2 linked regions of the Drosophila melanogaster genome follow. Changing the gene in region 2 together with the main gene of any one other region gives a genetic interaction. Each region holds a gene or a part of one and is shown on either strand. Other genes may lie near its edges.

Region 1 (5,062 bases), 370 kb from region 2:
GGTGGTTAACGAACGCAGCTTGGGATCCTGTTTGATTTCGTCGCGAACGGCCTGGATGGCATCCTTGCAGTCCATCAAAATACGCTCAATCAATTCTATCTTGGCATCCTGCTTGGTGGTCTTGGCCAGCGACTTGTCCAACTCCTGAGCACTGAGCAGGAACAAACGCACCTTCTCCGGACGCACGGTGACCTTGCGACCGCGCCAGTCGATCGTCTGCAGGCCCTCGCTGCTCTCCGTCTTTGTCTGACTGACCAGTACGTCAAGATTCTCAAGCACTCCCTGAGCGCGCAGCTCCAGGATCTCGTCGATCTTGCCGCCACTGGCGCCACCGCTGATGTTGTAGGCGCAGTAGCGCAGATTGGGCGTAAATTCATTAACCTTAGCGCGGTAAAGCTCTTGTTCATCTTCGGGCAGAGCCTTGCCCAGGTTTTCGTACACCACTTGGGCGCGCTTTAGGTGCTCGCCAGCGGTTTTCCATAGCTGCAGCTCAAAGTGCAGGGTTCCGTGCATCCAGGCAACATAGGCTTCGCACTCTAGCTTAGTGCGCGCATCGAAAGCCTCCGTCTACAAGAAAATTATAAATGAAGCTCAATAAACATTAATCATAACAGTGAGTTACAGCTTACATTACACAACTCCTGGAGCTGGAGGGCATAGAAACAGGCCCTGCGCAGCTTGTTGACCAGATGGAAACGCTTTCGCGGCTCCGTATTGGACTCCTGCTTGAGCTGCATGGCATACGCCCAGGCCCGCTCGGCGCAGATCAATGGGATGTGGATGAAACGCTCGTCCGCCTTCTTGCCTGTCAATTGGCCAATGGTCACGTCGCGTCTTTTGAAGTGCCGCTTGTCGCCCTGGGGGTACTTCAGGGCCTTCCTCAATCGACGGATGCGGCGGCTGCAGTATCCGCGGTACCTCTGGAAGTCGCCGTGGCGCAGGCCGTGTTGTTGCTGGGCATCCTTAATCATGTGCAGAACTGCAGCAGGAGTGAAAGTTCAGGGCATTAGCATTAAATTTTAGGTTAAATGGTTGGGCGTCTGGGCCACCTGGCAGTTGGCTGTAGGCGATTGGGGCACTTACTCTCCACCGTGAAGATCTTGGAGGGCTCTGCCACCGGAGCAGTCTCCGTCTTTTCCTGAACGTCCCCAGTATTTGGATTATCTTCTTGCACGACCATTTTCTTAGCAGTCGACACAAATCAACGACGTGTAAAAATTAGTGATTGCAATTCCAATGGGATTGTCAAAAACACTAAATAATCGATATTATTAAGAGCGGCTCTTGTGCGATATATATTTATATTTATTTATAGGATATATTATCAGTTCGGAAATTACATGTTCCTATATTGAGAGATAGAAGTTATAAATTTTATTTGATTGTCACTAAGCTTACTTTAAATAAAATCCCTGAAACATTATAAAACTTATGTTATGTAAAAATAACTGCACAAAACAATAAATAATTATAAACATGCTATACGAAATTCAAGCCCACTTATTGATATCGATAGTTTCAACGGCGCATCCCTATTCGTAGTAGTGTTGAGAAACTCATCAAAGCTCCCCCCTTTTGAAACTTGTTGGCTGACACGCAAGAGCGTGCGTTCTGTCTGTTTTACAACAATTTCGGCCAAGTTCGCAGGTAAATTTCAAATATTTCAGCACTCTGTCAACGTGAAATTTAAGAACAATGCCTGACGCATGAGAGACAATAGAAATTTATGGTGGAAACCCATTGTTTTGGCCACGCTTTGAGGTTATACTTTCACTCACTGACAAACGCTGGCACCTCACCCCCGCTCTTGTGTCCATGAATCGGTGCACCAGTTTTGTTTTGACGGTCGGGGATGGTGATTTGCAACGTTGACAATGGACTGATTATCATATAGGCGGCTGATTAGTGGATCGAAGCCAATTCTGTTTAATTTGCTCATTTGAAAACTATCAACAGCATGTCGCGCAGAAAGGAGAACGAGGAGGTGGACAAGCAGACGCGTATTGCCATCGTCAGCGATGACAAGTGCAAGCCCAAACGGTGTCGGCAGGAGTGCAAGAAGACCTGCCCAGTGGTGCGCATGGGCAAGCTCTGCATCGAGGTGACGCCCACGTCCAAGATAGCCTCGTTGTCCGAGGAGCTGTGCATCGGTTGCGGTATTTGCGTCAAGGTGGGTCAGCTTACCTACAACTGCTGTAGTTCCCGGAATAACCCGTGCTTTCAATTCCCCAGAAATGCCCCTTCGAGGCCATCACAATCATCAACTTGCCCAGCAATCTGGAGAAGCACACAACGCATCGATACAGCAAGAACTCCTTCAAGCTGCATCGTCTGCCCATTCCGCGTCCCGGTGAAGTGCTCGGTCTTGTGGGACAGAACGGTATTGGCAAGTCGACCGCTTTGAAGATCCTCGCGGGGAAACAAAAGCCGAACCTGGGGAAGTACGCCAATCCGCCCGACTGGACGGAGATCCTTAGCTACTTCCGCGGCTCCGAGCTGCAGAACTACTTCACCAAGATCTTGGAGGACAATCTGAAGGCGCTGGTCAAGCCGCAGTATGTGGATCAGATCCCCAAGGCGGTGCGTGGCGCTGTGGGCGATCTTCTGGATAAGAAGGACGAGAGGGAGCTGCAGACTAAGATTTGTGAAATGCTGGATCTATCGCACATCCGTGATCGTGAGATCGCTCAGCTTTCTGGCGGAGAACTGCAACGCTTTGCCATCGCCATGGTATGCATACAGAATGCAGACATCTTCATGTTCGACGAGCCGTCCTCGTATTTGGATGTTAAGCAGCGTCTGAACGCTGCCTTGACCATTCGATCACTCCTGCATCCCACCAAGTAAGTTGATGAATAATGTGCCATTGTTTAAAATTATGACGTGGTTCTGTAATATGCAGGTTTATTATTGTGGTGGAGCACGATTTGTCTGTGCTGGATTACTTGTCTGACTTTATATGCTGCCTTTACGGAGTTCCCGGCTGCTACGGTGTGGTTACTATGCCTTTCTCTGTGCGCGAAGGCATCAACATTTTCCTCGATGGCTTTGTGCCCACCGAAAACATGCGATTCCGCACTGAGTCACTTACTTTCAAAGTATCTGAGTCCGCTACGGAGGAGGAGATCAAGCGCATGAACCACTACGTATATCCCGCCATGGTCAAGACCCTGGGCAAGTTCGAGTTGACGGTGGAAAAGGGTCACTTCAGCGACTCCGAGATCCTGGTGCTCCTGGGCGAGAACGGTACAGGAAAGACGACGTTCATTCGCATGCTGGCCGGTAACCTCCAACCCGATGGCGAGGTGGAACTGCCTATGCTGAATATTTCCTACAAGCCCCAGAAGATTTCCCCGAAATTCCAAAATCATGTTCGCCATTTATTGCACGATAAGATTCGTGACGCCTACGTGCATCCTCAGTTTATTGCCGATGTTATGAAACCCATGAAAATTGAGGAAATCATGGACCAGGAGGTGCAGAACCTTTCCGGTGGTGAGTTGCAGCGAGTCGCCTTGGTCCTGTGTCTTGGCAAGCCAGCGGATGTCTACCTCATCGACGAACCCTCTGCCTACTTGGATTCAGAGCAGCGTCTGGTGGCCGCCAAGGTTATCAAACGGTATGTTTTACATAGACTTTAAATCTGCACACAAATATTGATGGTATCTCGTTTTAGTTACATTCTGCACGCCAAGAAAACTGGATTTGTGGTGGAGCACGATTTCATCATGGCCACCTACCTCGCCGACCGTGTCATCGTGATCGAGGGTCAGCCTTCAGTGAAGACGACAGCCTTTTCGCCGCAGTCGCTGCTAAATGGCATGAACCGCTTCCTCGAACTGCTTGGTATTACGTTCCGTCGCGATCCCAACAACTTCAGACCCCGCATTAACAAAAACAATTCGGTCAAGGACACAGAACAGAAACGCTCCGGCCAGTTCTTCTTCTTGGAGGACGAAGCCTGCAACTAAGACAGGATCACGGGCAACTTCGATGGGACAGCTCGTTTCTCTATGTTCTCCTCAGCTTTCCTTCGTTCATTTTGCATTCTTTCGTTGAAGAACACATTTGCTTTCAAATTAATTTGTTATTGTTGTCGAGGATTGCGTACAATCGAAAATTGGGGATTAATTGTACTTGATTAAAGTGAGTTTTATATACGTTTTTACAGCGAAATAAATAGTGAACCGAAACAACAGAATGTTGTTTTAAATGAGTCTAGCAAAAATAAACCAATTTTCTTTATACAAAACTGCATTTGAAAGTTCTTTTTTCTAAAGTGGTGCTCATAGAATCCTGCGAGTTTAAAAGAGCTAACGTTTGCAAATTAACACGTATTTATTGCACTTAAGCGATAATTACTCAAAATACGCACAATACAAATGTAAATTACATACAAATTTCTGTCATTTCAAATTTGATCACAATACGAAATCGACGCACAATGAATAACAGCTACAAACATTTATAAGTATATAATTTACAATATTTGTTTTTAGATATACCAACGCATGCACAGCATATTTTTAATGTAAACGCTTTTGAAGCTTTAAATTTATGCGATTTAATCAAATTTACATACAATTTTTCGAAAAAGGCAAATCTTTTGAGTTTATAATACTTAATTTGATCTGTGGCTTGTTGACCACTAAATAACTGACACAAGTAAGTACTATAAATAGGTAATTTTGGAGACTTATACGCTAAAAATTCCATAAAAGTAAATGCGTCAAAAATTGACCCAAATATTTGATAGTTGCATTGTGCTGTTTCGAATCCCAATCTGAGTCTGAGAGTAGAGAGCGTTTTACAAGGAGAGTTTTCTTACTGTTTTGCCGAACTTATGCAATAGAAGTATAGTTAGTAAAAATGGACACATGTATGTCTAAAATTGAGTGTTTCAGTTGATCCAAAAGCAGATCCTATGGTTTATCCAATAATTTAATTACCTTGTTTATTTTCTTTTTCCTTCAGCATAATTTCTTGTAAATGGAACTTTTAGTGACTTAACATTAGTTTTGCTATGTGCTTAAATAATTGTCGAAATCTTGCAACAGAACGT
Region 2 (3,732 bases):
TATTCCCTGCTGGGAATGTCGCGGAAGCACGTTGTACGTTTAATCTGACACATTTTATGCAGCCTAAAGCATATCACTAATGCATACGTTCCAGAGAAACCTAGTCAACCTTCATGGACTGCCCAGTAGCATCTTCAAGCGACATCGGCTCCACGAGCACGCCTTCCTGGTGCACTACATGGACCAGGCCATAACCCGCGAGGGTGGCGTTCACAACCTGACACCGGATGCTTTGCGCTACTCCTGCTATCTGCGCGGATTGAATCCCGACAGCCTGAGCAGCGAGGCCATGATCGAGTGGCTGCGGAAGTGGGTCAAGGTGTCCACGTCGATACAAGGCGAACATATCACGCTGTTCCTGCACTTGCCCATCCTGCTGGGCTACAACCATCCCAACAACTGGAAGACCATCTACGGCAAGTGCCCCACTTGAGCGGGGTCCTCTGGTCGTTAGCTATTTGGTAGACTGTGCTTTAAAGATTGGACTGTTAAGATCATTTTGTTTCTTGAGAGCAAATAAAACCGTTAAACCAAAAGAAAGCTGGCAGTGTGCTTGTGTTTTTCCTAAAAATAACACTTTCTTTTATTTTCTCCATGGTGGTGGATGTTCATCAAGCAGTTACTTTCGTTAAAGGTAGTATTTTTTACTTCTTGGCCGCGGCCTTCTTGCCACCCTTGGCCTTCTCGGCACGCAGACGCTCGCGACGATCCTTCTTGAGGACGCGGGGAGTGCCGTCAGCCTTGGTGCGCTTCTTCAGTGTGTTGAAGGCGATGGTCAGCAGCTTGTTGCGCTGACGCTTGGCATAACGCAGCTTGAAGCGGTCAAAGTCGTTCAACGAGGAGCGCTGCAAAAGAAGACAAATTCTCATTAGTACTTGATTTATTCTGAATGTTTATGAAGACGCCTAGCTATGATTGTAATCAGATAAACTAGAATTAGCTTCATATATGTGTCAGCCGGCAATTCCTATCAAGAACTTTCAATTATCATCATGTGCAGTTCAAGGAGGTAATCAACTAGGCAGAGAAGAGGTATAACATTTTCCCCTCTACATAGGTAAACTTTCCTACAGCTACGAATCCTCCTCGTGCTCAGTGTACATACCTTGCAGATGTTCTGTGCCTTGACGGACCAGGGGCTGACCTTCCACTGGGCCTTCAGGTCGCTCTCTGTCCAGGCCTTGCGCACGATGCGCGTGGGCGCGGTGTAGGGGAACTTGATGCGGTACTTGGTCAGATGCAGATTGTTCAATCTGTATTCCTGACGGGGCACGCCAGTCAGAGGACCATCTACCAGAACCTGAAAAGTGAAAAGCCATTAATTAGTTTGGATCACTTTAACCATGTATGGCCATGAAGGGAGGAGTACAGCAACAAATGCTGGTTTTGCTTGCTTGCTTTCAGAGGGTTAAACTAGCTTCATTTATGTGTCAGTTGGCACTTCCTATCAAGAAGACAAATTATCATCATGTGCAAGAGCTCGTCACTTGGCAATTTGTTGCTGTTACTCCACTATGGAATGATGCACTTACTCTGTTTTGGTCAATGACGTCGACAATGGCCACCAGGCGCCCCTTCAGGGGACCGGCGGAGGCCTTGGCAATGCGACCAGTTTGTACGAATCTCTCGAAAGGCTGCAAACAGAGAGAAGTCCATTAAAAATGGGTGAAAATGTTGGATTTCGGTTGTTGCATGGCCAGCGCGTTGCTTGTGTTGGTGACCACCACGTGAACTATTTGAATGTTGGATATCCCATGGTTTTCCAACGCTTTTACGCTGCTTTCGCTATTCACACGTTCAACGCACTGACCCGTTCGCTTGGCCGCCAAATTTAATTCATCTCGGGCCATTTAGACCGCTGAATTTTCACATTTTTCAACCGATCCGCAGAAACCTTCGTCGATTCTTACCATGACGCTAACCGGAAAGAAAGAGAAGGAAAGAACTTTTTTGACAGCTCGGTGGTAGCATGGCGTTAGTGTTGCTAAACACAGAGTTGCATGTGGTCTAGTGTTGTGCAGAAATAGTTAATGTGACAGTAAATCATACACATCTTATGTGGTATTTTTCGCTATCAACTGTTACAGTCACACTAAGCCAATTCGATAGATTTCGATAGTAAAAATAAACATTTTGGAATAACATAATTACTTTTGTAGAAGTTACTTTTTACGGGGTTAATTTCAAGCAGACATTTTCCCAACATGGTTTACATACACTTCCCCAACAATTTAACCGAAGAGGAGCAAATGCTGCAGGCCAAGTATCAGAAACTCAAGAAAAAGGTGGGAAAACTCATGCCACAAATGTGATTATTTATATTAACAAGTTTTTAACCCGTAGAAAAAGGCACTGCAAGCGCACAAGGCGCCCAAGCCGGAGCCGGAGAGCTCCTTGACCTTGAAGCGTCCCACGGATGCGCGAGATGCCCGTGAAGTGGCCAGGAAACTAATCAAAAGCGGCGCCATTCCCGCCATCCAGAAGCAGACCAAGCAAGATCAAACCTCCTTCAAGCGGCCCAAAGGACAGGAAAGAGCCAAGCGCTCCACCTCGGAAACCACTGTTGCCTCCTACCAGCCCTTTTCGTCTACGCAGAACGACGTGGCCCAGGAGACGATCATTAGTGAGATCATTAAGGAGGAGCCGCGTCGACAGAATCTCTACCAACACTTCGCCACCGAGCGGGATCGAGAGGAGCGCGGCATGCCCGAGAAGGTGCCCATGGACACAGCGCAGCCAGAGAAGCCACGGGCCGGCAATACCATCTTCGTGTCCGGCAACAAGGTCACCGAGGATTTCTTAAAAAAGACATTCAACGACTACGGCACCATTGTCAATGTCTCCATGGAGATCGAAAAGAGGTAAGTGAACATGGAAAGTCCATGTTATAGCTTACATATATATTTTCCCAACTGGAGAAATTATAAATTTATCCTGTATGGCCTTGCAGTCGCGGCTTTGTTTCCTTCGCCAAACCCGAGTCGGCAGATCGCGCCATTGCGGAGATTCATGGCAAGAATGTGAATGGCATCAACTTGCAGGTGCAGTTGGCTAGACGCCAGCCCCAGATTGAGCCCATTAACGATGCCTCCTCGTCGGCAGTCTGGTCATCTATTGGTAAGTGCTCAGTGTTTCTCTATAACTTAAAAACGAAATCAAACCTTATGTACTCCCCAAATAGCCGCCAGCAAATCACAAAAGGGTAGCCACAAGGACCACCGCGAGATGGTTCAATACGATGAAGACTTCTTGCTCTAGAGCGCAATAATTAGTTTCTACGTTTAGCTTTCTACTTACTTTATCCCTTAGTAACAGAACACATTTCAGTTTATTTTAAATAATTTTGCTTTATTGAAAATACGCTTCTATATATATGTTCACTTTCTGGCTAAGTACTCGCATTTCAAGTTATAACGTTCAAATGAATTCAATGAAAAAGATTGTATGTTTTGTATATTAATTCCTACGTTTTGATCTAAATTAAACAACAATATGTTTAACAATTGAATCTCTCGCTTTGCCTTACGTGGTAGAAAAGATGAGCAAACAAAATAAGTTCTTATTAGTGGTCCTCGCCCCCTCCTCGCAAGAAACAGAGAACGTCGTATGTATGTACATAGCATGAGTTAAGTAAATAGTTAATACATGATCGTTGCTTCTGTTGCTATGCTCTGCCATATAGATTTCTATATCGTTGGTAGACAACGTTGAAAAATGTTCCCTCTATATTTC

What was found.
Region 1: of RpL14 (region 2) and pix, changing one enhances a phenotype caused by changing the other (phenotypic enhancement), as found in Drosophila melanogaster (one study listed by BioGRID).

What each region holds. Positions count from the first base shown.
Region 1 is NT_037436.4:8,971,242-8,976,303, reverse strand, and holds pix (pixie), read left to right. Parts: upstream 1-1,538; 5' UTR 1,539-1,647; intron 1,648-1,886; exon of another isoform or gene 1,887-1,956; 5' UTR 1,957-1,957; coding exon 1,958-2,170; intron 2,171-2,232; coding exon 2,233-2,843; intron 2,844-2,902; coding exon 2,903-3,619; intron 3,620-3,676; coding exon 3,677-3,971; 3' UTR 3,972-4,248; downstream 4,249-5,062. Other genes in the region: Srp68 (signal recognition particle 68), read right to left, coding at 1-567, 630-979, 1,084-1,180. UniProt on the Drosophila melanogaster protein: Plays a role in translation initiation and quality control of translation. Together with pelo and HBS1, is required for 48S complex formation from 80S ribosomes and dissociation of vacant 80S ribosomes.
Region 2 is NT_037436.4:8,599,216-8,602,947, reverse strand, and holds RpL14 (ribosomal protein L14), read right to left. Parts: upstream 1,943-3,732; 5' UTR 1,914-1,942; coding exon 1,911-1,913; intron 1,635-1,910; coding exon 1,533-1,634; intron 1,476-1,532; exon of another isoform or gene 1,396-1,475; intron 1,301-1,395; coding exon 1,106-1,300; intron 1,001-1,105; exon of another isoform or gene 917-1,000; intron 846-916; coding exon 645-845; 3' UTR 556-644; downstream 1-555. Other genes in the region: CG5989 (uncharacterized protein), read left to right, coding at 1-33, 95-433; Nelf-E (negative elongation factor E), read left to right, coding at 2,205-2,285, 2,344-2,861, 2,951-3,117, 3,182-3,258.